Linked DNA regions of Oryctolagus cuniculus. The main gene of each other region encodes a partner of the protein of the gene in region 3 in a complex. Links are inferred from orthologs where the notes say so. Each region holds a gene or a part of one and is shown on either strand. Other genes may lie near its edges. The genes, in order: RUSC2, DENND1B, RAB35 and ACAP2.

The links.
Region 1: the proteins of RAB35 (region 3) and RUSC2 are in contact, whole or in part, in a crystal structure (PDB 6IF2), measured with the Homo sapiens proteins. The link is inferred for Oryctolagus cuniculus from reciprocal best matches to the Homo sapiens genes RAB35 and RUSC2. Residues at the interface, in NP_006852.1 of Homo sapiens: Asp4, Tyr5, Leu8, Phe9, Lys10, Ser22, Leu26, Asp30, Ile38, Thr40, Val43, Asp44, Phe45, Lys46, Ile47, Lys58, Gln60, Trp62, Thr76, Arg79, Gly80, His82; in NP_001129471.2 of Homo sapiens: Val997, Lys998, Asn1001, Asp1005, Val1008, Thr1013, Arg1015, Lys1020, Glu1119, Glu1155, Leu1158, Leu1159, Gln1161, Pro1162, Leu1165, Leu1166.
Region 2: the proteins of RAB35 (region 3) and DENND1B are in contact, whole or in part, in a crystal structure (PDB 3TW8), measured with the Homo sapiens proteins. The link is inferred for Oryctolagus cuniculus from reciprocal best matches to the Homo sapiens genes RAB35 and DENND1B. Residues at the interface, in NP_006852.1 of Homo sapiens: Lys10, Leu12, Ser17, Ser36, Tyr37, Ile38, Thr39, Thr40, Ile41, Gly42, Val43, Asp44, Phe45, Gln60, Trp62, Thr64, Ala65, Gly66, Arg69, Phe70, Arg71, Thr72, Ile73, Thr74, Ser75, Thr76, Tyr77, Arg79, Gly80, Thr81; in NP_001182144.1 of Homo sapiens: Met1, Arg4, Glu43, Ser47, Phe51, Val72, Leu73, Thr74, Asp75, Ile76, Glu77, Ser78, His211, Glu212, Arg213, Arg214, Gln242, His243, Ile244, Ile246, Leu249, His252, Leu253, Asp255, Tyr256, Cys258, Ala259, Pro260, Met261, Pro262.
Region 4: the proteins of RAB35 (region 3) and ACAP2 are in contact, whole or in part, in a crystal structure (PDB 6IF3), measured with the Homo sapiens proteins. The link is inferred for Oryctolagus cuniculus from reciprocal best matches to the Homo sapiens genes RAB35 and ACAP2. Residues at the interface, in NP_006852.1 of Homo sapiens: Arg3, Asp4, Tyr5, Leu8, Ile41, Gly42, Val43, Asp44, Phe45, Ile47, Lys58, Gln60, Trp62, Phe70, Arg71, Thr72, Ile73, Thr76, Arg79; in NP_036419.3 of Homo sapiens: Val715, Ala718, Asn719, Ala720, Asp721, Val723, Thr724, Arg727, Leu728, Arg730, Met731, Glu734, Met735, Ser738, Glu748, Thr749, Gln751, Arg755, Asp756, Gln759, Met760.

What each region holds. Positions count from the first base shown.
Region 1 is NC_091432.1:198,511,979-198,519,618, forward strand, and holds part of RUSC2 (AP-4 complex accessory subunit RUSC2), read left to right. Parts: intron 1-4,474; coding exon 4,475-5,113; intron 5,114-5,333; coding exon 5,334-5,519; intron 5,520-5,620; coding exon 5,621-5,761; intron 5,762-6,839; coding exon 6,840-6,916; intron 6,917-7,103; coding exon 7,104-7,278; intron 7,279-7,368; coding exon 7,369-7,474; intron 7,475-7,640. UniProt on the Homo sapiens protein: Associates with the adapter-like complex 4 (AP-4) and may therefore play a role in vesicular trafficking of proteins at the trans-Golgi network.
Region 2 is NC_091444.1:13,951,584-13,959,223, forward strand, and holds part of DENND1B (DENN domain-containing protein 1B), read right to left. Parts: intron 6,332-7,640; coding exon 6,282-6,331; intron 4,389-6,281; coding exon 4,269-4,388; intron 1-4,268. UniProt on the Homo sapiens protein: Guanine nucleotide exchange factor (GEF) for RAB35 that acts as a regulator of T-cell receptor (TCR) internalization in TH2 cells. Acts by promoting the exchange of GDP to GTP, converting inactive GDP-bound RAB35 into its active GTP-bound form.
Region 3 is NC_091452.1:16,143,841-16,151,480, forward strand, and holds the end of RAB35 (ras-related protein Rab-35), read right to left. Parts: intron 4,214-7,640; coding exon 4,089-4,213; intron 4,002-4,088; coding exon 3,877-4,001; intron 2,357-3,876; coding exon 2,228-2,356; 3' UTR 862-2,227; downstream 1-861. UniProt on the Homo sapiens protein: The small GTPases Rab are key regulators of intracellular membrane trafficking, from the formation of transport vesicles to their fusion with membranes.
Region 4 is NC_091435.1:84,276,816-84,284,455, reverse strand, and holds part of ACAP2 (arf-GAP with coiled-coil, ANK repeat and PH domain-containing protein 2), read right to left. Parts: intron 4,378-7,640; coding exon 4,169-4,377; intron 3,500-4,168; coding exon 3,430-3,499; intron 1-3,429. UniProt on the Homo sapiens protein: GTPase-activating protein (GAP) for ADP ribosylation factor 6 (ARF6). Doesn't show GAP activity for RAB35.

The DNA.
Region 1 (7,640 bases), on a different chromosome or scaffold from region 3:
AAGGCGGTGATTCTGAACCTGGATGACTCCTAAAAAGATGATGGTAGCTTGAATAAGGTCTGGTTTTTCTTGTTTGTTTTTGTTTATTTGTTTATGGGAAAATCCCAAGAGGAATTTCTTTTTTTTAATAACTGTTTATTCATTTTTACTTATTTGAAAGGCAGTGACACAGAGAGGAGAGGGAGAGCTCTTCCATCCACTGGTTCACTCCCTAAAGGCCTGCAGCAACCAGAGCTGAGCCAAACAAGAGCCAGGAGCCAGGAACTCCATCCAGGTTTCCCAGCTGGGAGGCAGGGACTCAGTACTTGAGCCGCCATTCGCTGCCTCCCAGGCACGTCAGCAGGAATCTGCATGGGAAGCAGAGGCAGAGGCAGGGCTCCATCCCAGACACTCTGATATGTAGGTATCCCAAGCAGCAGCTTAACCCTCTGCACCACAACGTCGGCCCTGTCAGATAGCATTTGAACACAGAAATAGACTTACTGAAAGAGGAACAGGGTTGTTCAATTTTGGAAATTTGTAATTTTCAGTGCCTAAGAGACCACCAAGGGATATGTCTAACAGGAAAACCACACTGGATACCAGTGAAGTTCATTCTTTGATCAGTAATTTTCACCACTCTCCAAGGAGCCCGAGACCTGACCTATGAGCCGTAAGCTCCAGGTAGCCCCTCCCAAAGCCAATTCTTTCCCTGTTTTATTAAGTTGTAAGAATTTCACCTCTGTCCTCAAGGAATTTCAGCTAAAATTGGAAACAGAAGAGGAAACAAAGTTGAAATGCAGAGTTGGCAGTGTGTGGTACTGGTGGATGAGAAGGGATATCTAGGACTGAAATGTCAAGGAAGAACCACTTACACAGTTTACGTTTAAGCCCAGTCTCACAAGATGATCAGGAATAGGTTTTGTGGAGACTTGTAGGAAGAACCCTCTGGGCTGATAGAGTCACAAAGACATAGGGCTTGATGCTTTCCAGAGGCTACAAATACGGTAATTTGGTATAGTCATGGAAGAATGGGGTAGAACCCCTGAAGGGTTTTAAACTGGGAATTACTTTTTTTGTTTGGTGGGTTTTTCCTTTGCTTACCAGCATATTTTGATTTGCATTTTAGAAAGATCATTGGTTAGATGGAAGATGGACTAAAAGAGATGTTTCCATGTAGATTGGAAAGTCATTGGAATAAAAGTAGTAGTTGAAGCTAAATGAATGGGTGACAGCATCCAGGGAGAGTGTATGGAGTTATAAAGGGGACAAGGCTGGGGATACTGTGACTCAGGGGGTGATCTGGTCAGCTCTCAAAAAAGACCAGGAGAGAATAAAGTCACAGAAACCAAAAGAAGAGAAAGTTTTTTTAAAAAAAAGAGGTTCAACAAAAAAAGTTCTAAAGAGAGATCATCTAAGATAAGGCTGAAGAATCCTGAAAACAATTCAGAAGTATCTCAGAGGGTTTGGGAAGGAGGGGATGGGGGTGGGGGTAGAGGGCAGGGGCAGCAAGTTCCCGGACAGCTGTGCCCATAGCCTTAGGTTGGGTCTGCTGGTTTCTCAGAGGGGTTTAAAAACCACAAATGTACTTCCAGAGCTCACAATCCATTAGAAAAGGCCACACAATGAAGTACACAGTGGAGACGTCCTTGGGGAAAGGGGAGGAGAGGGAGTCTCTGGGGGAGAAGCAGAGCCTGGGCCAGAGCCCTTTAGAAGCGGCTCCTTCTCAGACTGCAGGGCCTGCTGGGAGCAGCTGGTGGGATGCTGTGCTAGCATCCTCAGGGCAAGCAAGTCCTGATCAGAGGTGGAGAAGGAGCGTAAAAGTGGTTTTTTCTATGCGATGAGACTTTTCCCACCAAGACGCTGCTGTATGACAGAGCTCTTCGGTAATGCACTACAGGGCTCTTTTCTTGATTTTGTACCTTTTTTTTTTTTTAATTAAAAAAAGTGAAAAGAAGAGGATGAGGAGACAGTAAACTCAAATGGATCTGACCAAATTTTGAAAGAACAAAACTAATAACAGAAGACAAATGTGAAATTTGGTTTCTAAGCTGTCCTGAGCTGACTGGGGATAGACACTGGGTCAGCTCAGCCTGACAAATTGAGTTTAAATAAGTGGAGAGGAAGAAGACATCCAAGGGGGGAAAGGCAGTGTGCTTACAGAGGGGAGTGGGAGGGCAACAGCAAGGCTGACAGGTGTAGAGATGTGCCATGTGGTGCTTCCGGAAGCTAGCCAGTTATGTGCCGAGTCTAGGTCCACGAGGCTGGGCTGAGTGAGGAGTGATGCTGAGGATTCAGCCTTTAGTTCCTGCCGTGCCCCAAGCTCTGCTCTAGGCACTGAAGACATGGCAATTAGAATACAAAAATCACAACTCTTTTGGAGTTGTTATAAAGAGTAATAAGCAATAAACACATAAAGGATAATTTCTCATGGTGAAAAGGACTACAAAGAAAATGAAATGGAACAATGGGGTAGAGAGCAGTCTGCCACAGGGACTGGGCTGCCCGGTGACAGTCTTATTGAAGGGGTGGTTTGTGAGCTGATGCTGAATGATAAGATGTCAGGCAGAAACAGCAGCAGGTCAGCAGGCTCTGAGAAGGTAATGAATTTGGTGTATTTAAGACCAGAAGCAGGTAGGGCTGGAGCCTAGCGAGTAGGGAGAGTAACAGAGTTTGCTCTTTAAGAGCTGACTAGGGATGGTAGGAGGGCTTAGTTTAATATGTCCCCTGGGAGTGATTCTGACCCACTTCCCTAATGGGTTAGGGTCCCATCCACTGTGACTTGTTGATGAAATAAAAGATAAGGGACAGGAAAACCCAGCCTGAGAAGTGTATGTGATAAAGACACTGGCCCGGCCGGCACCACAGCTCAATCCTCCGCCTTGCGGCGCCGGCACGCCAGGTTCTAGTCCCAGTCGGGGCACCGGATACTGTCCTGGTTGCCCCTCTTCCAGGCCAGCTCTCTGCTGTGGCCCGGGAGTGCAGTGGAGGATGGCCCAGGTGCTTGGGCCCTGCACCCCATGGGAGACCAGGAGAAGCACCTGGCTCCTGGCTTCCGATCAGCGCGGTGCGCCGGCCGCGGCAGCCATTGGAGGGTGAACCAACGGCAAAAGGAAGACCTTTCTCTCTCTCTCTCTCTCTCACTGTCCACTCTGCCTGTCAAAAAAAAAAAAAAAAAGACACAGGCCCAAACTCAGACTCTGGCTTACACAGAAGTATAGCTCTGCCACTTTCTAGTTGTGTGACCATGAGCAAATAACTTAATCGCTATAGATTTCAAATGTCCTGATCTGCCCAGTAAGAATACTGATTCCTGGCATAGTACAGTTATTGAGCTACTGGGTTGGTGAGCCACACCCAGGATTTTAGACCATGTGAGTGCTTCTAGCGCCACCTTGTGTTCATTCCAGCATTCACCATGTGCGCAGTGTCAGAACCACAATCGGTCCTGGAGTCCTGTATTTAGTTCTTAGGGACGTGGACCTGAAGACCGGCTGGAAGAACAGGAGGGCTGGCGCCCTGCCTCACTAGGCTAATCCTCCGCCTTGCAGCGCTGGTGCACCGGGTTCTAGTCCCGGTCGGGGCGCCGGATTCTGTCCCGGTTGCCCCTCTTCCAGGCCAGCTCTCTGCTGTGGCCAGGGAGTGCAGTGGAGGATGGCCCAAGTCCTTGGGCCCTGCACCCCATGGGAGACCAGGATAAGTACCTGGCTCCTGCCATCGGATCAGCGCGGTGCACCGGCTGCAGCGCGCTGGCCGCTGCGGCCATTGGAGGGTGAACCAATGGCAAAGGAAGACCTTTCTCTCTGTCTCTCTCTCTCACTGTCCACTCTGCCTGTCGAGAGAGAGAGAGAGAGAGAGAGAGAGAGAGAAAGAAAGAAAGAAAGAAAGAAAGAAAGAAAGAAAGAAAGAAGAGTTCTTGATTTGCTCAAGAACGAAATGTGCTGGTGGGGAAATGAGCAAAAATCCTGACTCGGACCCCAAGTCTCTAGGCCACAGAGAGAGAAAACGTTGGTTCTGCCATCGACAGGAATGAAAGTCATTGGGAAAAGGGGGCAAAGGCACGGGATGAGCTCTTTTAAGGTACAATGTGTCCATGAAAGCAGAGCCCGAAAGCAGAGTGATCTAGAGCTCAAGTGGAAGGGCAAGGCTAACGCTGTGGGCCTGGGAGACACCTGTAGGAAAGCCTGGACGGGAGTTGGGCAAGGGGAAAGTGTAAGACTTGAGCCGTAAGATAACACCATCTTTAGATTTGAGAAATGAAGAGGTGTGAAACAGCAGGATTGCAAAACACAGGAAAGAGTCTCCCAAAAGAAGTGGGCAGCAGTGGCATGTTCCGCGCGCTGGGATTAGCCTTACCCCACTCACTTCCTGCAACCCAGGTCCTGCCTGTCTTGCCCCTTCCCCAGTGGGCCTCGTCTCTTATCTCTGCTTCTGTTTCTTCTCGTGTGGCTTCAGTGTCTGCCTATCTGAATCCTCTCCATCCCTGTTGCTACAGGGGGTGGTGCTGAAAGCCGACCAGTCCTTCGCTACAGCAAGGAGCAGAGGCCAACTACACTGCCCATCCAGCCCTTCGTGTTCCAGCACCACTTCCCCAAGCAGCTGGCCAAGGCTCGGGCCCTGCACAACCTCTCCCAGCTCTACAGCCTCTCGGGCTGCAGCCGTACACAGCAGCCTGCCCCACTGGCTGCCCCTGCTGCTCAAGGCCCAGCCCCAGCTCCCTCCAGGGAGCCACAGGCGTCCACACCCCGAACCTCTGGCCGAGGTGCCAGGAAAGCTGGGCCTGAGCCAGAGACCTCACGGCCATCACCCCTGGGCAGCTACTCCCCCATCCGGAGTGCTGGCCCCTTTGGGCCCAGCACTGACTCTTCTGCCTCCACTTCGTGCTCCCCTCCCCCAGAGCAGGCCACAGCCACAGACAGCCTAGCCCCATGGAGCCACCCCTGTTCTGTTGCCCGGCCTGCCACCTCCCAGCTGCCACAGCAGGAAGATCAGAAGACACTGACCTTGGCTGAGTACCGACTCCATGGAACAGGAAGCTTGCCACCTCTGGGCTCCTGGAGATCTGGCTTCAGCCGAGCAGAGAGCCTGGCCCGGGGAGGCGGTGAGGGCAGCATGGCCTCCAGGCCCAGTAACGGTATGCGCGTCACTGCCACCACCCCAAGCACTTCTGTCTTTATGCTCTGACTTGGGGGTCAGAGATTAAAATGTTCGCACCTCTGTCCCCAGCACCTGTGGATAATGTCCACATAGTCTTAACTCTGGTGTTTCACATGGGTCCATTGGGTGGATATGAAACCTTGTCTCCTACTAACTCTTGCCTATCTGTCTCTTCTGCTAATCTGATCTACTTCCAGCCAACCACCTATCCCCTCAAGCCCTCAAGTGGCGCGAATACAGGAGGAAGAACCCACTAGGGCCACCTGGTTTATCAGGCAGCCTAGACCGAAGGCCACAGGAAGCGCGCCTGACCCGAAGGAACCCCATCTTTGAGTTTCCTGGCTCTTTCCCAGCTGCTGGCCATCTGAACTGCCGGCTGAATGGTGTGTGGGCAAGGTTCCCAGACCCTGCTGTGGTGGGGAGGGCTCAGTCCCAAAGGAGCATGCTGGAGGCCCTGAACTTGATTTTTTTCTCTTCTTTCCAGGTCAAATGCTGAAGCCATTACCACTGACCTGCCCTGACTTCCAAGACCCCTTCTCCCTGACTGAGAAGCCCCCAGCTGAGTTTTGTCTGTCCCCAGATGGCAACTCAGAGGCCATTTCCATTGACCTGCTTCAGAAAAAAGGTGACTAGAACCCTGAGCTCAGGTCAGAGTTGCTGCTATCACACTACTCACCTATACATGCTGCTGCCCTACTTTGGGCATTTAAGACAGGGAATATTTCCCTGTCTTAAAATTCAAGTGCCAGGAAGGAGTTGGAGAGCACTGGGCCTGGAGGCAGTCACGTGGGTACTGTTAGTGTACCGTGAGTGAGCCAGGGTCCTTTCTCAGATGCCGAACCAGGCTCTTCCCTGAGTGAGCTAAGCATGATGGGGGAGGAGGTGGCATGTGCCAGAAAACTGAGTGCTCTCGGTCAAGGGCCCGGGCCTGCAGCTTTGCTAAGTGTGCTGGTGACATTTAGTAAGAGGAAGACAGGCAGGGAAGGCAGCCAAGTGCCAACTGAACCAAGGTTAGAGCAGTTTCAGTGAGCTACTGAAGGAAGAACTGAGCATAAATCACAAATGTGGGCTGAACAGAGGAGCCTGTGAAACGAGAGAAAGGTGAAGTGGAAGTCCCTTGCAGAGAAAGGAAAGAACCTTGGGCAGGACGCGAATGGAGGGAGAGGGGTGCAGATGCAGTACAGTTATGTGTCTTGGAGGAGAGGGAAGTTGAAGGAATTCATGACCAGTGGCCTCTGTTCTCTGCAGGAAGTAGGACGAAGGGCTGAAGAAGAGGGGCAAAGGTTTGGCATGGCAACTTGAGGGTGGAGCAGAGGGTGCTGACAAGGCACATATCGAAGAATCACCCTTTTCTGGCACTTGTGTGAGGGACCTGGATTATCTCCAAGAGCAGGGAGTAGCCTAGTTTCTCCGTAGAAAAGGCTAATTGTTGGATTGATCTGGGATTGGAGTCAGAGGGCTAAGAAGTAAGAAAGTTGAAGGTCATGGATGGCCGTGGTATCACTAAAGTTAGGTCCAAAAGGACAGACAGGGGTTGAGAACTGGGCCAAACCAGAACAGTACTGGCCTGGATGTCTCAGTGAGACTTGTGTACAGGTACAGAGACCGAGGGTGCGAGAGTCCTCCAGCCTCCTGGAGGGTTCAGCCTTTAGTGTTTGCTGGGAGCTTGCTTAAGGACCTGTCACATCAATCCTTGCTTGCAGGCCTGATTAAAGCTGTTAACACTGCTGTGGACCTGATTGTGGCCCACTTTGGCACAAGCCGGGATCCTGGGGTAAAGGTAAGCAAGAATGTGGAGGACTGAGCTCTGCCCTGCAGACCCCTGCCCTCCGTGTGCCACCACCTCCCCCTGCTCCAGAGCGGGATTCTGAGGGGTGGGGGTGGCAGGAGCGAGCCATGCAGGCCGACAAAGGAAGGGCCAAGGTCGTCTCCAGATGACTCCCTGCCACTCCCGACTGCATCTGCAGGCAAAGCTGGGAAACAGTTCTGTGAGCCCCAACGTGGGCCACCTGGTTCTGAAGTACTTGTGCCCCGCTGTCCGGGCCGTGCTGGAGGACGGGCTCAAGTCCTTTGTACTAGACGTCATCATCGGGCAACGCAAGAACATGCCGTGGAGCGTGGTTGAGGCTTCCACGCAGCTCGGTAAGTGCCCAGCGGAGAGATAAGGACCTTGGGCTCAATTGAGGGTTCCAGACATCGGCTGCGTGACCTCCGACCCTGGCTTCCTCCTAGGCCCATCCACCAAGGTTCTGCACGGCCTCTACAACAAAGTCAGCCAGTTCCCAGAGCTCACCAGTCACACCATGCGCTTTAACGCCTTCATCCTCGGCCTGCTCAAGTAAGTGTAGGGCAGCAAGACCTCCTGAACAACCAGCCCTCCACCCAGGCCCTGCCTCCTGAGGAACCAGCTCCCTGTACTGAGGCAGAAGGGGGAGGTCCGCGAGTCTGCGGCCAGGGCGCAAGCTTCCCCCGGCCAGAGCACCCCAGTGGCTCACTGCTTTCCC
Region 2 (7,640 bases), on a different chromosome or scaffold from region 3:
TCTACTAGAATGTACACAATCAGATTAATATGCAATTATTTGTTTTCTAATAGCATTTTTTTTTTTTTGGACAGGTAGAGTGGACAGTGAGAGAAAGACAGAGAGAAAGGTCTTTCTTTACCATTGGTTCACCCTCCAATGGCCGCTGCGGCCGGTGCGCTGTGGCTGGCGCACTGCGCTGATCCGATGGCAGGAGCCAGGTACTTATCCTGGTCTCCCATGGGGTGCAGGGCCCAAGCACTTGGGCCATCCTCCACTGCACTCCCGGGCCACAGCAGAGAGCTGGCCTGGAAGAGGGGCAACCGGGACAGAATCTGGCGCCCCAACCGGGACTAGAACCCGGTGTGCCGGCGCCGCAAGGCAGAGGATTAGCCTAGTGAGCCGTGGCACCAGCTCTAATAGCACTTCTTAAAATATATACCCATTTATATATGCATATAATTTGATTCCTTATAAGAACATCACATACTATAAAATATCATTAACATTTCTCCAAGTCAGGATATATATTTGTGCATAATTTTTCCTAAAAGATACATAACACTCGATCATATTAAGCGTCATTCATTCATTTATTCAGCAAATATCTATTAAATCTATTAAGAGTTCCTTATGTGCCAGGAACTGCTGCCGACACTAGGACTGTAAGAGTGAACAAAAACCACCTCTGCCCTTGTGGAGGTAACATTCTGTTTGGAGGAAGAAAAGTCATGGCACAAAGGGGTTATTGGGGAATGTACCATAACACACCTAATCAACTGCTATTGAGACACAGTCACATCACCATTTTGTAATTTATGTTTTTTCAATTTACAGATATAATTGTATTTATTACATAAAACATGATGTTCTGAAGTACGTATGACTACATCTAGCCAATTAACATATTTTTGCTATTATAAAACATGTTGTAATATATAACTTTGTTCATACTTCTCTGTTTCGTCTTGCGACTATTTCCAGGATTTAAATTCCTACAACTGAAAGCATTGAGTCAAGGAGTATGAGAGTTCCAAAATCTGATACATATGATTAGATTTCCCTTTAAAAGGTGATGCCATCTTATAGTCCTACAGATAGTAAAGATGTGCACTTCTTGTGATATTTTAAAAACATTTCCATTTCTGCCAATCTTGATAGCCTTATTTCTCATATCTCAGTAAGGCTGTGAGCATCATTTACAGGTGAATGTACTATCCACATTTCCTCTGTAACTTATTCAGATGTTTTACTTATTTTTTATTGGGCTCTTTTTTATTAACTTGTAACAATTATTATGTATCTGGCTATTAACTCTGTTACAGTGGTTGTAAACATATTTCTAGCACTTTATTTTTTTTGCTTTAAAGTTTCTTTATAAATTTGTCACCAAACAGAAGTTTTCATTATTGTGTATTCAAATACACCAGTCTTTCAGGTTTCAGGATTCCATGTTAGGTATGTAAAAACTTTGCCTGCCACCATCATTTGCTTAAAAGTCAACAGTATATATTTTTTTAAACTTTTATTATTTATTTGAGAAGCAGAGACAGAGGGCATGCACATCCATTGGTTCATTCCCCAACAGGCCACAACATCCAGGGCTGGACTGAGGCCACAGTAAGGAGCTAGGAACTCAATCCAGCTCTTCCACACTGGTGGCGGGAATCTAATTACTTTAGCCATCACCAGGATCTTGAAGAGTCAGTATTGGCAGGAAGCTACTGTCAGCTGGCAGAATTGGGAATTAAACCCAGTAACCCCAATATGGGATGTGGGCATCTTAACCATTAGCCAAAACATTAATTTTATTATTCAAGCACATTCAGAATTTTCTATAATTAAAATTGTATCATTCCTTTCAATAATTACAAAGACAAATATAATGTGGTGAAAGACCATCAAAATGGGTGGAAAACCCAGGACCCAAAACATCATTATTCCTCTCACTACAGCATTTACAGAGATTTTCCAAACACTAATTATAACTTAGGAATAGATATTTACTTATCTACAACAACTTTCTGAATTGCTGAATTCCATAATATCTGAATTCTCTGTTTAGTCTTAATTTATAGTCTATGCTCTAAATTAGCTGTTCTCAAAGAACACCCCAGCACACAGACTACTGGGATAGTCTCAAATGTGCCAAGAAAAACAATAGAGAGAAAGAAAGATTTGTTCATGTGTGGGTCGGTATGTACAATGAGAGAGAAAGGGAGAGTGAGCAGAGATATGCCTGTTAGCAACCGATAAATCTAGGTGATGTTTATGCAAGAGTTCATTAAACTATTGAAACTTTTCTATAAACGTGAATGTCTTTTAATGAAAAGTTTCCAAAATTCATAGAGAAAAATAAGAAATCATACACAGCTTTGGTTTTCTTCCAGGATAAATCATCAGGCACAGTGCCCCGAATTATGCTCCCCTTCAAGCTGTAGCTTTTGAACCCGAGCCTGAAGCACAGTGGTACAAGGCACTCTCCCAACCACTCCCCACTCTGTCATCCCTGTGCCTTTGCCCTGCCAACCTGTTCCAAGTTAGAAAAATCAATCTACAAATTTAAAGCATAATGAGCTTTGAATAAAATATGTTTTAAATACAATTGTTATTGAAATGGAAGATTTATGCCTCAAGAAAGAATGAAGGCATATTAGCATTATATCACTTTATAAAGCAGTTAAGCATTTACTTTTGAATAAAGACTGAAAACAAGTTCTCCAGATCTAAGTTTGTCCTGAGTAAATGAATAACTTCATTCTCAATGAATAATAAAAACACAGGTAAATAGCCAATAGAGAAAACAGCAATTTTATATCAAAGTTTTCTTTGTAATATGTTAATTTATAGATCAAATGTTATTGCTTTTCCTATTAGCATCTCTATAGATTCTAGGTTGACCAGTACTCAATATGACTTGTTTAGAGTCCTACTTTTTTTTAATTGGATTTTTTTTTATTTGACAGAGTTAGACAGTGAGAGAGAGAGAGAAAGGTCTTCCTTCTGTTGGTTCACCCCCCAAATATTCGCTACTTTTATGGACCACATTTCAATGCCTGCTTTCAAGACTTACTACAAGGACAATAACATTTAGACTCTTTCCTCCTCAACAGCGAGTCCCTGGGGTGCAAAGTCTGCAGGCAGGAGATGCTCTCACCTCCTGCTCATCAAAGCAGATGACGTCAGCCATGAAGGCAGGACAGGAAGGACCTGTGGAAACCTACAAGCTCACTACACAGCTAAAGGCCTGCTATGAAGTTCTAACTTTCTGCAGCCACTGGAGAGTGCAGGAACACAAGTAGCAGATATTCCACTTCTCAGAAGGAATTAGAAATATAAACTTTATATAAAACTTCCTAAAGCTTATAAGGTTACCAAAAGGTTTTATATTTTTTAAAATACCCATTGGGCTAGACAAAAATATCTAAACAGTTTTTTGCCTAGAATCAGAGTTTGCAACCTTTGCATTTAAGTAGCAATTCACTTTCAAAAATATATGTTCTGGGGCCTTGCTGTGGCATAGCCAGTAAAGCCGCCATCTGTAGTGCTGGAATCCCAGCTGCTCCTCTTCTGATCCAGCTCTCTGCTATAGCCTGGGAAAGCAGCGGAAGATGGCCCAAGTCCTTGGGACTCTGCACCTGTTTGGGTGACGGGAAGAAGCTCCTGGTTCCTGGCTTCGGATTGGCAAACCTCCAGCCATTACAGCCAACTGGAGAGTGAGCCAGTGGATAGAAGACTTCTCTCTCTCTCTCTGCCTCTCTCTCTCTGTGTAACTCTTTCAAGTAAATAAATAAATCTTAAAAAAAAAAAATACAAGTTCTGGTTCATTGATAGAAAAGGGCATACTATAATTTAATTGAATTTTGTGCAACCTATATAAGGTGCAAAACCCACATTACTGGAACTCATATAAATATTTAACTTTCAAAAATCATCCACAAAAAAAATCATTAAAAGAATCAGGTCCTTCAAGCAAAATTAGAGTATGTTATTGGTAAGTCTTTAAGCCCAACGGATTCTGTATATAGAAAGGAGGGAGTTTACAGCCATACCACCATGAACTTGCCCCATCTCATCTGATCTCGGAAGCTAAGCAGGGTCAGGCCTGTTCAGTACGTGGATGGGTGAAAGTAAGGAAAATTCTTTTTCAAATTACTTGGATTTATAAAGGAAAAAAACGAACTATAAGAAGTGATTTTTTTTCTTGCATCCCATATATAAAAAATGCGAGAGAGAGAGTAATCTACTTTGCATCAATTTTGTTTTTTTTTAAAACAACAAATACTCACCTAAGGATGCATAAACAGATTTTGCCTCCTGATGTGAGCCTGCAGAATCCAAATCTCTGTTTACTTTCAATGTCTGTCAGTACAAAGGTAAAGTGCTGGCCAACTTGATTTTGAGACACCCTAAAATATAGGAAGATTAGGAAATACAAAGCCTTTTATGGTAATTTTCTTGAAGAAAAACAAGCAAAAACATATTTATATGTGGCATTCATTTGAGTAGAAAATGTATAAACTAAATCATTAGTCTCATATCATAATAAATTATAGTATCTTGTTTGTAATTTATTTCCATTTTCAAAACCAAAGCTGAATTATTATGGATATTATATTTTGGTTGTCTGATGTCAAGATTATAGCCAGAAAATATGTGCATATATTTTTAAATATAAATATTTCATCTAATGATTTATCTTGCCTCTTACACCTCAGTGTGACACATATGACAGTTCAAGATTAGCTAAAAATCTTTAAAGCTTAGCCAGTGAGCTTTTTTAAAATACAAATTATATTCTTACTTTGTACTTAGAAATTTATTCCTTAACATGTTAGTAGCCTTCAAAGAGAATTCCAAGAAATAATACCAAGAGTATTTTGTGTGGTACTTTATTGGGTGAGAATGTCAACATAAGAAGCAATTAAACAGAATTGGTGGAGGCTGCCATTAGAAGCTGCAGCAACATGATTTGCTATCTAATCAGGTTTAGTGTAATTGGGGAAAGCGAGGCTAGGGTTGAGCAAAAGGGCTCAGTCATCATGTCTAGCTTCTTATTTCTGTAGTTTCAGTAATAGCATTTTGATAGCCTTTGGGATATTTTATGACTGCATTTAGTCTTATGAAACCTTAAGGTAAACTATCTTATGACTTCCTGGTAAGGAATTATATAATCCATAATACTTCAGCTTTGGTTTTGAAAATGGAAATAAATTACAAACATTATACCAATACTACAAACTGTTTAGCCAGGAAATCTTGCATCTCAAATGATGAGTATTTTTTAAAATATAATGTTAAGGAATAGTTCTTTAAAAACTTTTATGAACTTCAAAAAAATCACCAACAACTAATGTGCCCTCCACTGTCCAAGGTTTATAATAACATCTTTTTATCTTTACTTCCTTTATTTTATCATTATTATCAATTGGAAAATTGTAACTTGGCAGGGGTTGCAGGGAACACAATTGATTCCCCAGAAATAAGGTAAAAGAAGGAATATCATTTACCAGCAATATTTATAACTATTCATCAGCCAATCAGGTGGAAGTCTTTGTTTTCAATATGGTTAAAATATTAGACTTTCATTAATCTTTACTTTAGCAAAATATTTCCCTAAAATAAAATTTCTTTTATCTACCCCTCATACCACACTTTTAAGAAAACTGATAATAGGGTGTGAAAATTACATGAAAAACAATAAATGATGTTATTATGCTCAAAGGGCTATATATTCTATTAAATCTCAACTACACAAAAGTAGTTCATTTAGTATTTGTTCAGTAAAATACAAATATAATGAGATTTTCAAACTGCTAGCAGGGTTTCCCTATAGCCTTCCACAATATTGCAGTATTTCTATAAAGCTATTCTTGGAAGACATCAACCCAGGAGTGTTACAGCATCACACAGATGGTCTTTTCAATTAGGGTGAAGTGAGACAGAAACCAGGATAGATATATCTAATTTTAAAAGACACAATTCTAAGGACATCAAGGACATATTAATATTTTTCCTTGTGCTTACAATGTGTAACTGATAGATAATGCAAAGAAATAGATGTTACTGACAATACATTTCAGACTTTTCCTAAATGGCCACCAGAGAAAACAAAAGATATAAATGATTTAAAATGTTTCTTCACTACAAATATTATTTAATTTTGAATCTCTAGCCCTTTTTGTTAGAAGCAACGAAGAGAACACACATTTCATTTTATTTTAGAAAAAAGCACATAAAGTCATTTTATAGTGTGCACTAAAATGAGCTAAAGTTATTTTAAATAATGACTTATACTATACCTTTCAACGTCAAAGGGGAAACAGAACTTTGGCACAGTCTGTAGTACTTCCTACAAATGCAAATAAAAAAAAGCTTTAGAACATTTTTAAAAGATGTAGTTAAAACTTTTTTAAAGACATTTTCTATGAAAAAAAGTTTTTTTTCCTTGAGAAAAATAGCACAGGTTCCTAGACTAAAATAATTGATTATTAAAAAGGAATTACGTTTGGGCTTTGGCAGATTGCACTGACAATGCCACAGGAGCCCCAGGAGGGAAAGGCCTGGCCTGAAGGGTATTAACACCCTTCACATCCCCGCTGGGATTCCCTTCAACAAGGCCATATGGATTTTACAAGAAGCACCGCACCATATGGGTAAGCCACGGCTGCTGCTACTTGTACTACAGACTAGCCATAGGGACTTCTGACAGATCCTGGCTCAAAAATATAAATGTTGTTTCAATTAAAATGCAGGCAGAGAAAAGGGAATGAAGTTGGCAGGAGAATGAATTTACTGAGAAGTCTACCACCACCACTATGTCCTGTAGACAAATGCTTTAAAAAAAAAAAAAAAAGATTTTCTATAGCTAAATAAATACAATTACACAAGTATGTTTCAACTCTTGATACTAAGTTTTATCTTAAAACATTCTCACATAAATGTGTACATAAAAACAAAACTTTAAATTAAACCACAGCTTCTATTCTATGTGCTTACACTTAAGATTTGCTTAATATGAAAATCAATCATCAAATTAAACTTAGAAACTAATCTGATTGATTTTAAAACTTCAGTAACTTTATAGTCATTATAAAATAATCGTAAAACCTTTCAGAGAGCATATGCACCAACAATTATAACAAAATGCTAATAACTGTCAACCACTTGCCACCAAATAAAACTATCTATTTTGCTACACATAGAAAATATAAAATTAACTCTGACTCAAAAGTTAATTTTAGAATTAAGCACAATATTATACAATTTCAAAGCCAGGAAAGCTTACAAGGCAGAAATTTATGAATGTATTTCCTATTAAAAAGAAATAACAGCAAATATCTTAATGTAGCAGCATTCTCAAAAAAATACCTTATCTACCACCTCTACCAACACAGCTTACATAAAAGGAAATCAGGATCTGAATATTTAAGCTCTGTTTATACATATAGTATTGAGTGCTTTAAAGTAGAATTTCTTGCATTCATTTAAAATAAAGATTTTAATAAGATATCAATTAAAATTAAGACCTTGTAAAATTCTAGTACCAACACCTAAGAAAGCTTCAAGAGCCTTAACTCACAGAAGCAGAATGAAAAGCACCATATAAATAAACATTTTTTGCCCTTTAGGGCAAAATGCTTTCTATGAACATGCACCTT
Region 3 (7,640 bases):
ACTTCCCAGGCCAGAGCAGGGCCCTAGAGCGTGGCAGAAACTTCCAGCCGGAAGCATTACTCGAGGCGAAGGCTTCTGCCGCACCCTCCGGCCTGTGGAGAATCAGCACAGGCCTTCCCCTGGCACCTGCCCGCGTGTGCTCCAGCCAGTGCCAGTGCGTCAGAATGAGGGGACACAGCCTCGACCACGTGTTCACGGAGAAAACGGACTTGGCTTCTGCACGTGGTCCAGGGCCTCCAGAGGCACCTGCGCCAAACTCAGGCCCAGAACAAGAGCTGGACACAATGGGCGGGAAGGAGCCAGGCCCGCCCAGGGCACAAGTGGAGGGAGAGCAAACAGACCCTGCAAGAAAATTTGGCAGCTTGAACCTTTATTTTTAGTATTTTTTTTAAAAAGCATAATTAGAAACTTTCAATACAGAAATAATCCTAGCAAACCATTTAAAAGTTGTATTGTTTGACATGAATTTCATAGCCGGTCCACCAGGACGTCGGTCCAGCCCCGAGTCCCCCACCCCCCCCATCCCGTTCATGCGTGTAACCCTCCGTGTGACAGGCACACTGTCATCCCACGCTCACCCCTGCCACCTGGGTCTGGGCGTCCAGTTCCCACAAGCTACATGGGTGTCGAGCCAGGGCTGGAGGCTCCCACGACCGCCTGTTGCTGCTTGACTCTGCTCAGAGGCCACCACAGGCCAACAGCCAGCTAGGACAGTCCTGAGCACAGGACCCCCACTTCTGATCCCAGCTCCCCTGAGCCAGACGCAGCACCCCGCACCCACCTTCCCAGGCCCGGCTCACCAACCCCAGCCTGCAGCACAGAACCCCCGTTTTTGGCAGTATGGACAAGTGGAGAAACAGGTGAGAAGAAACCCCCAGTTTTTATTGATTACAAACCCATCCACAGTGTTAACATGGAGAATCTGCAGCGTGATCTGCAATGTGATTGTCCAGTGAGGGCTTTGCCTGAAAATTGCCTAGGAAAGGAAATCTAATAAAACACATCATGGTGCTGAAATCAATTCTTCCCAGCGTACGTGATCCCTTTAGGGGAGAGGGGAGGGACAGAGGGGCAGTAGTCGGGGGCAGGTCACAATGGTTTTTCCTCCAGGGCACTGCCCTGTGCCACTCCTCCCCACCAGTGGAGATGGCCTCCCACCACCTTTGTGGTCGGACTGCTCTTGTCGGTGGTCGTGTCATCCCCCTGCTGTCCGGCAGCCCTGACACCACGGCCCCATGTCACAGTCTCCTGACACCAGTGGCAGCCCTCTCTTTCCCAAGAAACAGCCAAGAGCCCCACGGTGACAGGAAGCCATTTACTTTGTCTAAAAACCCTGGGCCAAAAATGCAGTGGCCACAACCTTTGCTGCTGTGCCAAATTTCAGGGACAGAAAATAATTGTGAGCAATTTAATTCACTTGATTTGGCTTCATTTTCTTTACCTGTTAAAGTAGTCTAATGCCCACTGTGCGCCCCATCTGCACACGCAGCCCTGCCTTCCTGCTGGGACGGAGACATGCTGGTATCGCTGAGAAGCTGGGCTCCCCTGGGTCTGTAGCTCAGAAGGGTCTAGGAGGCAGGACAAGAAACCTGTTGGCCAACAGCAGGACTGACTTCCTCTGTGAAAGCAGACGGCAGGGCCTCCGTCCAGGTCAGGCTGCCCCAGCTCCCAGAGCAGGTCTGGGGTCAGGATGGGTTGGCACAGGCCGCAGAGAACGGGGAAAGCCTGGAGGCCGGGGACAGAAGCTGACACCTGTAGGAGAGAATAAGCAACGTGGAGCCCACTCCACTGACCCAGGTTGGCCAAAGACGTGGCCAGAACGTGATGCTGTCCCCTCAGGAAGCTGCTGGCGGTAGGGTGGACGGGAGGGCAGCAGGAGGGTCTGTCGCAGCAGGCTGGCATTTAGGAGGCAGAAGCCAGAGCAGGACGAGGGTGTGCAGCTGGTTAACGCAATTTACACTATGTACAACGGGTTACTCGGTCCGCTCGGCTGGCAGCGTCCTCGCCAGGTCCAGGCGCCTTGGCTGGGGAGGAGGGCACCAGGAGGGAAGGGCGGGCTCGTCCAACGCCTTCTTGGCACTCAGGGAGGGGAGGAAGTGCCGATGGCGCCTCCCGGTACAAAAACGTGGAGAGAATTCTTTAAATAACGGCACGGAACTGAGACCGTCCGCCGAGGAGCCCCTCGGGCCTCGGGCTGGGGCCGCAGTGCAGTCTCTGCAGGCGGGCATTAGCAGCAGCGTTTCTTTCGTTTACTGTTCTTCGTGAGCTTCACCACGTCGTTCTGCTGCTGCTGCTGCTGTTTGGCCAGGTTGTCTTTCTTGGCTCGGAGGACCAGCTCTGTGATGCAGTTGAACATCTGTGCGGGAGACAGAGGCAGGGCCTCAGGCCTGGCGAGGACGCCTCCCTGCCTCCCGGGCCCGGCTCTGTCTGTACTTGTGAATTTTTGTACACGTACCAGTGGTCCCCGTCTTAATGACGGTTCCACTTAGAATTTTTCGGCCTGATAGTAGTGCAAAGGCAATATGCACTCCGTAGAAGCCATACTTGGAATTCTGGGTTTTGTCTCTTCCAGGGCTGGCCACATGGGCCCTGGGCAGTTCCACCTTCACGAGGGCAAAATGCACTTTGCAGTGAGCCGTGCTGCTCCGCACACCTAGCGTGTTCACTTAGGCATTCAGTGCAGTGCTGACTGCGGTCCTGGGACATCACCCCACCTAAGGCAGGGAGCACCTGTGTGTCCTCAGTGCCCTTTCTAGAAGGGGGTGGCGAGTTATTTTAAAGCGAAAAAGGAACAACATCAAAGCACCAGGAACTGTGCAGACTTGGGGAAGTCAACCTTGGGGATTTTCCTGCCTTTCTTTTAAGAGAACCCCTTCCGCTGGAATCTTCCAACAAGGCAAAGGTCTTTGGGGGAGACAGAGCCAGGGTGGGCTCAGCCTGCCACCCCATGGCATCTGAGGCCCAGAGGTCTGGCCTTTCCCAAACCACCTGATACCTTCCAATGCCAGGACCCAGGAGAACTACCTACAACCCACATCCCTGCATTCAGCCAGAGCAGCAGGTACGAAAAAGCTGAGCCGTGCGCTGTGTGCAAAGCACTTGCTACCACTCACCACAACCTGCAAGAAAGGGCTCCCACTGCCCCCAGTCCACAGCTCGGAGAGCTTACATCCTGGGTTTTGACCCTAGCCTGTCTCAGGAGCTTGGGTGGCCTGTGTCCCCCATGCAGTGGGGATCCCAACTTCTGGGGCCTCTCAACACCACACGCCAGGAGGCAGGGCTCCCCTTAAGACCAGTGAGTGGCAGCAGGCTGAGCCTGTGGCAAAGGTCTGGCTTCGCTCCCACAGGATCACAGCGGCTTTCCAGCAGGCCTGGAGGTGCGGAGGGGAAGCCGCCTCTGCTGGAGGGGGCCTGGGGGCCACAGGAAAGCAACCTCATCTCTGCAGGGAAACCAAGGCCACAGAGGATGCTACACAGGAAGGCGTGGCAATCCCGGGGACAAGGAGGCCCAGGAGATGGGGACTGGAGTGGGCTGTGCGTGGCTTTAGCATGGGAACAGTCTCACTCAGCCCCTCACAGGTGGGTGCTGTTCCATCCATTATTGACACACCTGGAGCCCCACCACCCCTACCTGAGACATGGGAGTAATTCCAGCCCACCTCGGGACTACTGAGACACACACTAAGACCTTGAAAAGGCCTGGCCCAGTACCTGACACACAGTAGGCACACCCTGAGCGGTGCTTACCGTGACGCTCTGTTGCTCACTTAGATGCCCCGAGCAGGCCAGGAGTGGGGAGGGGAGGGTTGTGTGGCAGAACAGGCTGGGTCAACCAGGAGGCATGCAGGCCCCGCCCAGGGCCTCAGCCAGACTCACCTCTTCCACGTTGACGTTCTCCTTGGCACTGGTCTCAAACAACTGGATCCCCATCTGCCCAGCAAATTTGTAGGCATCTTCTGTCTCCACCACCTTCCGCTCAGGGTCGTCATTCTTGTTGCCCACTTCAAGGCAAAAAGTGGTCAGCCCAGCCCTGCAGGAGCACCCCGGCCACCCATCTCACCATCCCCACTCATGGGGCCCGGCCTCACCTAGTATTCGGCACACATCGTCACAGTTCTGGTTGATTTCATGAAGCCACCGCTTGACGTTCACAAAGGACTCGGCACTGGTGACATCATAAACCACAATGACCCCGTGGGTCCCCCGGTAATACCTGGAGGGCGAGAGTGTGTCAGCTTCAGCCTGCATGAGCAGCCACTTCACCAGGTCTGTGTGTCTACAAACAGGTCCCTGTGGCTGGCGCCTGGGCAGCCACGGGCTCCTCACACCTGTGACCGGGGCCGACCCCTGCTGCTAGCGTGAAACCTCTCTGAAGCTGTTGCTGTTAGAATTCAGGCGATTTTTGTATTTGATGTCAGATCTTCCCTGTCCTCTCTGGACACTCAGGAACCACTGCCTTCTCAAGGCTGACTTAGAGAGATGCCTTTCCAAGAAGTCCTGGCCAAGTGTGCACCTGCGGCAGCCGGGCACTTCCAGCTGTGCCATCCTCCAAGTGCACAGAGCCCGGCCCAGCAGGGTGCGGAAGGAGGAGGAGCCACACATTCCTCCTCAGCCCCTGCGTCCCGGGAGCTCGGATGAAGGGCGTCAGGCCCAGGATGAAGAAGAGGACCAGGGCCACCTGTTCCTTTGCGACAGCCAGAGACCAGAAAGCACTGCTGCCGCCAACACCACGTAACTACCCTGTGCTGTCCCTCAGAGCGGTTCCCTAAAGCTGCCAGAACCACGGATGCAAACCAGGAGGGCACAGGTGGCCACCTGCCTGCCCTGAGCACCTCCCAGCTTCTGAGGCGATCAGTCCCTGCCCGGAGCCCAGTGCAGAGGCCGAGACGGGAACTGAGTGAGGGTGGGACTGCCAGGCAGTGGGTACAGCTCCATTCTCATCCGTGCCCTTCAGCTCTCTGGCACACGCTTCACATCCAAGGCCCGACCAAGGCCCAAGATCAGCCCTGGTTCCATCCCCAAAAGGCTGTGGACCATGGCCGCATTCCTGTGTCCACCTCACCAGCCCCCGTTCCCTCGTCACTACAACAGGGAACCTTGCACTTAACCCTTGGGGCAGCTGGAAGGAAAAAGGGGGACGAAGTGCCTGCAAGGCAGTGTGGGTGTGCTCGTCACCAAGGTTCCCTCAGTCTGCACTCCCAGACAGGTAAGAAGGAGGCAACCCCAAAGGCTGCAGCAAGCAGAGAGCCTCGCTGTGCCCGGGGGTCAGCCCCACCCCCACCCTGCCCTGGCTATCTCCACCCTCCCCAGGTGCTGGGTTCTGCCCACAGCTTTGCTCCAGAGCTACGGTGCACCTTGGCTTTGGGAGAGCCAGCACAGTGGAACTGTCTTGCTGTGGCTCCAGCCCCAAGACAGCAGGGCTGCCGCCGGTGTGGGGCGCAGACGACTGGGGTGGGAGGGGTGCAGCGGGAGTAGTGCAAGTGCCTCACCCGCTCCTTTGCTGACAGCTGGCTGTGGGCATCACTTCTGCTGTATCTGGAGCAAAGAATGAGCCTGGGGACGCAGTCAGGGGCTTGGAGCAGTGGCTCGGAAGGCGGAGGCGCTGCAGGACCCCATTCCCATCCCCACCAGGAATCACTATCACTTGCTGAACTCTGCTCTGGGCTGGGCACCGTGCCGAGCGCTCTAGCCTCCGCTTACTAACCGGGCTAGGACCGTGCTGAGCGCTCTAGCCACCGCTTACTAACCGGGCTAGGACCGTGCCGAGCGCTCTAGCCACTACTTACTAAGTGCTGACAAGCTGGACTCCAGGGCCAGGGGCTTCCCTCCCTCCTGACTCCACCCCGGCCAGCAAACCTCGGCTGCTGAGAGCGAGCTGGGAGGGGGACGGCAGCCCGTGAGGCTCACAGCAGCAGTTTCATTTTCTCTTTTGAATGCCCCGAGTCTGCCGCACCCCGACTGACCTGCCGTGCAAACCGCTGACCTCCCCAGGGCGCCTCTCTTCACCAGCCACCACCACAGGGCACCGAGCTCCCTCCTGCCTCATGGGGGCCACAGCCAGGGACCCTGGGAGACAGCCAACCCTCAGCTTCCATAGACAGCAGGCCGAGCAGCCAGGGGCACCCTGGAAAAATACGTTTTGCCTCAGGCAGCTGAGTAACTCCTCCAAGTCTCCCCAGTAGAATGGGGAGCTGGCCCAGCCTCTGCCCTGCCCGTCCCACCCGGCAGCTGACTTCAGGCAGCAGAGGAGGGGCTGTGGCTCCAGCTGCTGAAAGGGCTCAGGCACCCCAGGGTCCGCGGCCCAGCCCGAAGCATTCCTCAGGGCCACAGGGCTAACTGTGTCTGCCACGCTGAGTCCCCCATCTGGTCTGCACCCTGCTGGGAAGCACTGACAGAGGCCATATGCCCCGATGCCAGGGTGTGGGGGCAGCAGGGAGCAGGGCTGGGCTCTGGGTCAAGGCCTGTGCTTTGGCATCACACAGCCCTCAGTTCCAGTCCTGCCTAATCCACCAGGTTCTGGCCCTCTGCCCTCTCTGGACCTGTGTTCTTGTCCACAGAATGCAGAGGAGCCCAGGACTCCTAATCAGGATTAAATGAAACCAAGCAGGTGAGGTCCTTAGCCCAGAGGAAGGACACAGTGAGGTCAGTGTCCAGACCTGCAGACCCCAAGCCCACTACAGGAGGTCTTGCCCTGCTCTGGCCCAGCTGCCCCAGGCTCCCTGAAGCTCTCAATGTCAAGTCCATCCCGGGGAGCCTGGCCCCATGGTCATCCTCAGTCCTCACTGGCAGCTGCTGAGACACACAGTGGGCCCAGAGCCGACCACGGCGTGCATGCACAGATTCCTGCTAGTGCGGCCCACGGCTGACCACTCCCTCTGCCAGCAGCCCCACTCTCCCGGCCACCACTGCAGGGGTCACCCCTCACGTTCCTCCCTGTGCCCACGCTGGAGGGAGGAAGCAGACCTTCCTCATCTTCCCAGATCCACTCCCAGAGACGTGCTCTGGGGTCAGGCCAGACACCAGCACTGCTCTGCACACTCCATGGTGTGGAGCCCGGGCCCTGCCGTCACGGGACAGACCACTCCCTCAGCAGTGCCCTCAGCAGAGGTGGGGATAACAGCGCCGAGCACACTGGGTTCTCACCCAAGTCACCAGGACAAGCCCCGTAAGACCCCTAGCACAGCACATGACAGGCAGGGACATCCAAGCAAACCCTAAAGATAAACCAAGCACAGAGAGGTTAGGCAACTTGCCCAAGGTCCAGAATTTTAAGTTCCAAACCGCCTTCAAAGCCTGCTCTTTCCCAAAATGTATTCTATTGACAGCACAATAACCAAGAGCCCTGCACAAGACTCCAGCCCAGAGCCAGAGTCGGGTCATCCCCTGTGTGCAGCTAGGACCCACGGAGGGGCTGCAGGAGTAAAGCGGTCCACATGCGGAGGACAGATTTCCCACACAACAGCTTTGGGGAAGTAGAGGGAGGGCCTCCCACCAGCTTCCCTGGCCTCCCAAGAGACAGCCACCTGCAAGGAGGGCGAGTGACAGGAGCCTGCCTGCGAGGCCCCGCCCCAGCTGTCAGCATGACACCTGCTAAGAGTAAGTGCCGCTGACTAAGTGTGTGCTTGGGCAGGGTGCAGCAC
Region 4 (7,640 bases), on a different chromosome or scaffold from region 3:
GGGAAGAGAACAGAAACTCCAGAAATCACTGTACATATTTAAAACCAACTAAATCTTTGTCTAAGGAGCTCAAATTAATCCCTGGAGAAAGGACATTCTCTTCAACAAATGATGCTGGGAGAACTGGATATCCACATATCACTACATTCCTAAATCTGTATATGAAATCCATGTAATTTGTATACCTTAAATAAAATTAAGAATTTTATAAAATGAGGGCATTTCACTCAAAAGTCAATTCTATAAAGTAAAACATAATGAGAATTCCCTATTTTCCAAAATTTTTATTTTGTATATTACTATAATTTTCTTATAAACAGGCCGGCGCCGCAGCTCAATAGGCTAATCCTCCGCCTGCGGCTCTGACACACCGGGTTCTAATCCCGGTCGGGGCACCGGATTCTGTCCCGGTTGCCCCTCTTCCTGTCCAGCTCTCTGCTGTGGCCAGGGAGTGCAGTGGAGGATGGCCCAAGTGCTTGGGCCCTGCACCCGCATGGGAGACCAGGAGAAGCATCTGGCTCCTGGCTTCAGATCAGTGCGGTGTGCCGGCCTCAGCGGTCATTGGAGAGTGAACCAACGGTAAAGGAAGACCTTTCTTTCTCTCTCTCTCTCTCTCTCTCACTGTCCACTCTGTCAAAAAAAAAAAAAAAAAAAACTTAAAAAAGATATTATAAACAGTAAAGTTGGGAAGAATATTTGACAAAATAATAACAGAGAGAAGATGGTTGTTATTGTCTTGAGGTAATTTTCCTTTTGTGTGCTTGTTACCTTTAGCTTGTCTTTAATACATGTTATTTTAATTAAAAAATAATTAAAGGCTTATAAAACTTGCCTTAACTGTATCCAATTATTTTTTGTTCCTAAACATAGTTGCCCAAACAGAGAGATTTCCTTCTTTCCTCCCCTTAAATTCTAGAATAAAGAATTACCAATGGAAACCTAATCTCGGTATTTGGCACTCTAGCCCATCTTTCATATATTCCCAAGGAATTTTCTTAAGATTCTATTTACTGCCCTATTTTCAGGTTTCTTTTTTACAATGTAAATTTTATTTTTTTGAAGCTCTACAACTGTCTCATCCACTTGACGGATTAATTTCACTCTCCTCTAGAAAGTCCTGACTCAAACAACTTCATTTCTTAGAACCCTCTACACTAATCATTCTCTCATTTGTTTGTTTGCTTATTTATTTATTTAAGAGACAGAAAGAAACTCTGGTCTGCTGGCTCACTCCCCAAATGCCTACAATAGCTGAGACTGGGCCAGGAGAAAGTCAAGAGCCAGGAATTCCATCCACGTCTCCCACAGAGGTGGCAGGGGACCAAGTACTTGAGCCATCACCTGCTGCCTTCTCAGAGTGTACATTAGCACAAAGCTGGAATCAAGAGTTTGAACTAAGATTATTAGGTGCTGGGGCCAGCGCTGTGGCGCAGTGGGTTAAAGCCCTGGCCTGAAACACCAGCATCCCATGAGCACCAGTTCCAGTCTCGGCTGCTCCTCTTCCAATCCAGCTCTCTGCTGTGGCCTGGGAAAGCAGTAGAAGATGGCCCACGTGCTTGGGACCCTGCACCCGCGTGGGAGACCCAGAAGATGCTCCTGGCTCCTGGCTTCGGATTGGCGCAGCTCAGCTTGTTGCGGCCATCTGGGGAGTGAACCAGCAGATGGAAGACCTCTCTCTCTGTCTCCATCTCTCTCTCTCTGTCTTTCTAATAAATAAAATAAATCTGTAAAAAAAAAGATCATTAGATGCTTACAGCTGTTATCTAATTCTTTTTTTACATTTGCATTCACTCCCTCAACATGACTGAAAGCTTCTTGACTATCTGAAACCATCTTCTAATAGTTTTCTATCCCTCCAATGTGGATAGCACAGTGCTATTTATGATTCTCATCTGGTGAATTAATTGAACACAAAGAAGCCTATAGTCAGACAAGTTCTCTTCAACAAGTCAAAATGATGTAAACCATTTTCTCTTTATAATTTATTTAAAAGTATTTCCAAATATTTGGTTTAAAAGTTTCAGTCATTTTTTTAAGATACCAAGATGTGTTTCAGGGCCAGCACTGTGGCACAGCGGGTTAACACCCTGACCTGACGCGCCGACATCCTATATGGGCTCTAGTTCAGGACCCGGCTGCTCTACCTCCGATCCAGCTCTCTGCTGTGGCCTGGGGGAGCAGTGGAAGATGGCCTGGGTCCTTGGGCCCCTGCACCCGCATGGGAGACCTAGAGGAAGCTCCTGGCTCCTGGCTTCGGATAGGCACAGCTGGGTGGGGAGTGGACCATCATATGGGGTACATCTCTCTCTCTCTCTTTCTCTGTCTCTCTCTCTCTCTGCCTCTCCTCTCTCTGTATAGCTCTTTCAAATAAAATAAATAAATCTTTTTCAAAAATGTACTTCAACTAAATTTCTCATCTGAATCCACCAAATTCTTATCTACACACAAAGCTAATGCAGGAATTAGATTTTTGTCCCTCATCCCCTATGTTCTTCCCCTTTGAGTTCACAACAATTCATGGAATCTATCTAAATAGGGTTTTAGCTGAGAAGTCAATTCATCACTTTCATACTTTCATTTAGAAATTTCAATGACACAATAATTCCACAAAGTAAATTTACTTTACATTAAGTGACAAAGGTACCAGTTTATCTATAGATTGAAATAAAGACACAAGCAGATTAAAAACACCATTTTCTGATAGAAATAAATGTAGAATATACTCTAATCCTATTCTACTTTCTACAATATGGTAAACTAGATGACAGGAAATAAATTCACTGTAAGGTATTCTGTAAATCTTATCAGAAATCCACTAATAATCTAAAAGTATTAAAAATATTTCCACGGATATGAATCCTCAGACACAGAGGAGAAAAGAAAGGCCTGGTTTGGTGACATCTATCCTGACAAATGTCAATTTGCAAATGGTCCTATGCTAAAATAACCCAATGGTGCCAATATGCTATACTAATCCATTATGTCACTTACTAAAGCAACAAGAAAGTACTTCACAAAATTTAGGGAGAAATGGAATCAAAAGAAAATATATATCATAGAAAAACTATACATGGATTTCAAAATAATTTTGAACCAACATTAATTCATCTTCTGGAGAAGTTCTCTCCTATCTTTTATATTTTTAATATGAATCTAATTACAAAAGATGGCACAGAATCTGATTTTTTGAAAAAAAAAAATCACAAAAATTTAGGGACATTGATTTTCTTAAAGAACAAACTGACTTGCAGCTAACAATGCTACATAAACATAGCGATTTTAAAAATCTATTATTAAAAACACCAATTTTCCAGTCTCAGAAGTTTTCCAGTACAAGAAGTTCATTGTCAGCATAAGAAACTCATAAATTTTTAAACTGTTCACTTTTATGTGAAAATACAAAATATTTTTATGTAACATTTATTTTACCTTTAAAAGTTCAGGCTCCCAGGTGTCTAAAGTTAAAGATCGCACTTTTGAAAAATGAACCCCAAGACTCCTAAGTGGAAAGAAGAAAACTGCATTAATACATAAAACTATCAAGGCACAGTTTGCATATTTATACAAATTATTTTTCTATTTTAAAGTGGAATGGGTTCTCATACAGCCTGCAACACACATTTAAACAGGGATGATCATCTGATTAATTATAATGAATAGTGCATAGGGCCAAAGCTGTGACACAAGTTAAGCCACCATCTCATATGGGCACCGATTCAAGTCCCCACAGTTCCACTTCTGATCCAACTCCCTGCTAATACACCTGAGAAAGCAGCAGAAGATGGCCCAAGTCCTTGGACCCCTGCACCCACATGAGAGACCTGGAAGAAGATCCTGGCTCCTGGCTTTGGACTGGCCCAGCCACGGCTATTGTGGCTATTTAGGAACTCAACCAATCGATGGAAGATATCTCTGTCTGTCTGTCTGTCTGTCTGTCTCTCTCTCTTTCCCTCTGCCTTTCAAATAAATAAATAAATCTTAAAAAAAAAACTAGTATACAAAAGTTCTCAGAAGCACTTTACAAACCAGAACTTTATCCACTTTACAAAAGATACAAAATGATAGTTAAATTAGAGAAGTGAAAAAGACCCTCTAACAAATGGAACATAATAATTAATAACGTATGTTTATCCAAAAGCAGTCTCTCACTCTGAGCAGGTATACTCACCTGTGAATCCCAGAGCACTCAATGCACAAGGTGATGCCTAAGTTGATGCTGGCCCACCGTGGATCTGCCAGACCACAGTCACAACAGCTAGCATTCCCAGGGATACACTGGACCCGCTGCAGTGCACTTTCTCCTTTTAATAATTTCTCTTTTGACTCATTTCCAGAATCTAGGCTTCCTGTGGATGGAGATGATTTCTTATCCAGCTTCTAAAAGAATTAAGAATTATTGCTCTTTAAAAAAAAAGATTGTAATATCAAGTTGGACATTACATGCTCCAAACAAAGGCTTCCAATCAATAAATTAAAGGCCTATCCTGGGATAAAACAGGGCACTATTACAGGCACTGGAGATTCCAGGATGAAAAGATGCAGGTTCCTAAATCAATGGATGTTTAGTGTTGTAGGGAGAAACATATAAACATGTATATATTAAAAATTAAACATACACAATGAATATATAAACAAAATAGAAAGATAGAGAAGAAAGGAAATTCTAGTCTATCATGCAGAATGGGAGCCAAAGGGAATAGATAAAAGACTATCAAGACTCAATAATAAAATAAATATTATTATTTTATACACTGTTTTACCAATGAATTATAAGTAAGCTATTTTAATTAATGTAGTGAATAACTAGAAAAGGTACAGTCCTATATAGTTAAATACTAAAGAACATATCTACTGCCTAATTACAATTATAGAGTGAATCAAAAAATACAAAGTCTAAAGTTTCAAGGGCTATTAGGTAAACCAGGAAAATAGCAAAAGATGTCTAATAAGCAAAAAGTTAATTTTTAAGTGTATAGTGAAGTCTATACCAATAAGAAATAGTATTTTATAAGCATTGCTGTATACATAGAAATAATGATCAAATACAAAGATGTGGTTCACAAATCCCAAGCAATAAAAGATAAGCCTATAAAAAAGTCTTCTGGTATAAAAACATTCTAACCTTAATAAGACAGCAGTTTAGTACAAAATCATTAGAAAAATAATTTGGGAGACGGGTATATGGCACAAAAAGTGAAGTCACTGCTTAAGACCCCCACATCCCATATCAGAGTGCTGGTTCAAGTATCGACTACTCCGCTTCTACTGCACCTGGGAAGCAACAGATGATGGCTTAAGTACATGAGTTCCTGCTACCCTTACATTGGAGACCCAGTTGGAGTTCTTGGCTTTTGACTTCAGGCAGGCCCAGTCTTGACTATCGGAGCCATCTGGAGAGTGAATGAGCAGGTAGAAGGTCTCTGTCTCTCTCTCTCTGTCTCTCTTTGTCTCTCTGTCTCTGTCTGTTTCTGCCCTTCAAATAAATAAATAAATAAATCTTCATATATACAAAAAGAAAACATATTTTTGGCTCGTCTTGCCTTTCCTAACAAAGTGATCAAAGCGAATTCAACAGCCACTAGGTAGGGTCTAGCAAGCTTAAGTATGGAGACAAGGTATTCCAGAGACAATGAAGCCAGGTGAGAAACTTATCTATAGACGAGTGAAATCCTGAGAATGCTGCTGGATCCCAAGCAGGGTACGGAGGATGTCTACACAGGGAGACAGAAGAGCAAGGAAATGGAGGCCTAAGCGGGGAGTTGGGGAGCACTCAAAGAGTACAACCTAGTGTGAGGTATCAGTCTATGTGTAGGGCTGGGCAGTCAAGACTATGGGTCAAAATCTACAGAGTTAAGATACATGTAAGTATATTAAAGATAAATGGAAGCCAGATTTATCACTATAGAGAATAAAGTTATTTATATGGGAAAGGAGAAACTAGAATGAATTCTGTTTATCAGATTGGAACTGGAGATACCAATAGGCACAGAAATGGTTTTCATTTTAGTAGATAAATATAAATGTAAATGTAAATGTGTATACGTGTGTGTATATATATACATTATAAACCTTATCTTGGTTTCTAAATACCATTTTCCACCAAAAGAAACTAAGACACTTCATGGAGAAATGGATGATTTCATTGGCTAGTGCAGAAAAAGCACAAGATGAACCTGAAACATCTTGTCATGTAGGAAGTAAGGAAATATTTAGATTAATAGGGACAAATCAAAAGAATACACAAGACAGGGGCTCTAGTGGCTAAATAACGATAATAATGGGTTATAACACTTTGAATAAAGTAGGAGTTTATGCTAATAGAACTAAATTTTGTCATAAATTAAATTTTAAAATTGGATGAGGAACATAATATTTACATAGTCTCAAAATACCTCTCCTACAAGATACATGCTACCAACAAAAATTAAAATAACCTTTGGTAGACAAGCCTAGGAAGATATCACCTTAACCAAGTAATAAAAATTGACATCATCATCAGTGGTATAAATCAAAACGTGTGCCATGTAAGAGAATGCAATTAGAAGGACACAACAATATCATTGATATAACATTCCTGCCAAAGATGAATAACCTCATGAGTAAACATCAGGCAAGTTGAGGGGTGCTCTAGTCTGTCATTTTCCTAACTACCAAGGGCATAAGGTCAAGGTAAGACTGAAGAACTATTCCTGACTGAAGGACATTTAAGAAACATGACAACCAAATGCTACTTATGCTTCCAGACTGGCTATTTTTGCTGTAAAAACCATTACTAGAAAAATCTGTTAAAACTTTAATGACATTTTGAAATTAGATCATAGTGATATATTAATGTTTATTTCTTGACTTTGACAACTGGACCATGATAATACCCAAGAATGTGTTAGATGATGGGACAGACACACTCATTAAAACAATGATGCATGGGGCATCATGCTGGTACCTTACTCTCAAGTGGTTCAGGGGAAATATTATTTGTACTGTACTTGGAACTTCTCTGTAAGTTTTAGTTTTTTTAAATGTTACAAAAATAGAAATATAATTTGTTTTATTAGAACATGTTTCATAATGTAAACTATGATAAAAGCAATTATCATTCAGAGAAAGAATTTCAGTGTAATAATACAGAAATCAAGTTAATTCTCACCTTCTGACCATATACTAATGTTTTTGCACTAGATTCGAGAAGCTGAACGTTTCCAGCCATCTCAAGAAATACAGCACTGAACACAACACTTATTCATGAAAACAGAAGGAATGTTAGTTTAAGCAGCAGCCAGATCCCAGCCAGGGCCCCCATGCCATTAGACTGCTGTCTACACAAAAACACAAAGGAGTGGAAGTTTATTCTCTAGAGAAGTAAAACAGTGAGTCTGCATGGGTTTTGCCTGAAAGGTAGAAAACAGGTGATTAAGTGAGTGTATACATAACTGCTACAATTTAAATGTCCCCTCCAAAACTCATGCTGAAATAAAATTGCCTCTGTAACACTATGGTGGGATCTTTAAGAGGTGAACAGGTCATGAGGGCTCAGCCCTTAGGAATGGGTTCGTGTTGCTGAGGGGTGACTTAGTTATTTTAAGAGGTTTGCTGTTAAGTTCCATTCCCTCTCACTCTCTTTCTTGCAGGTTCTCACTTGC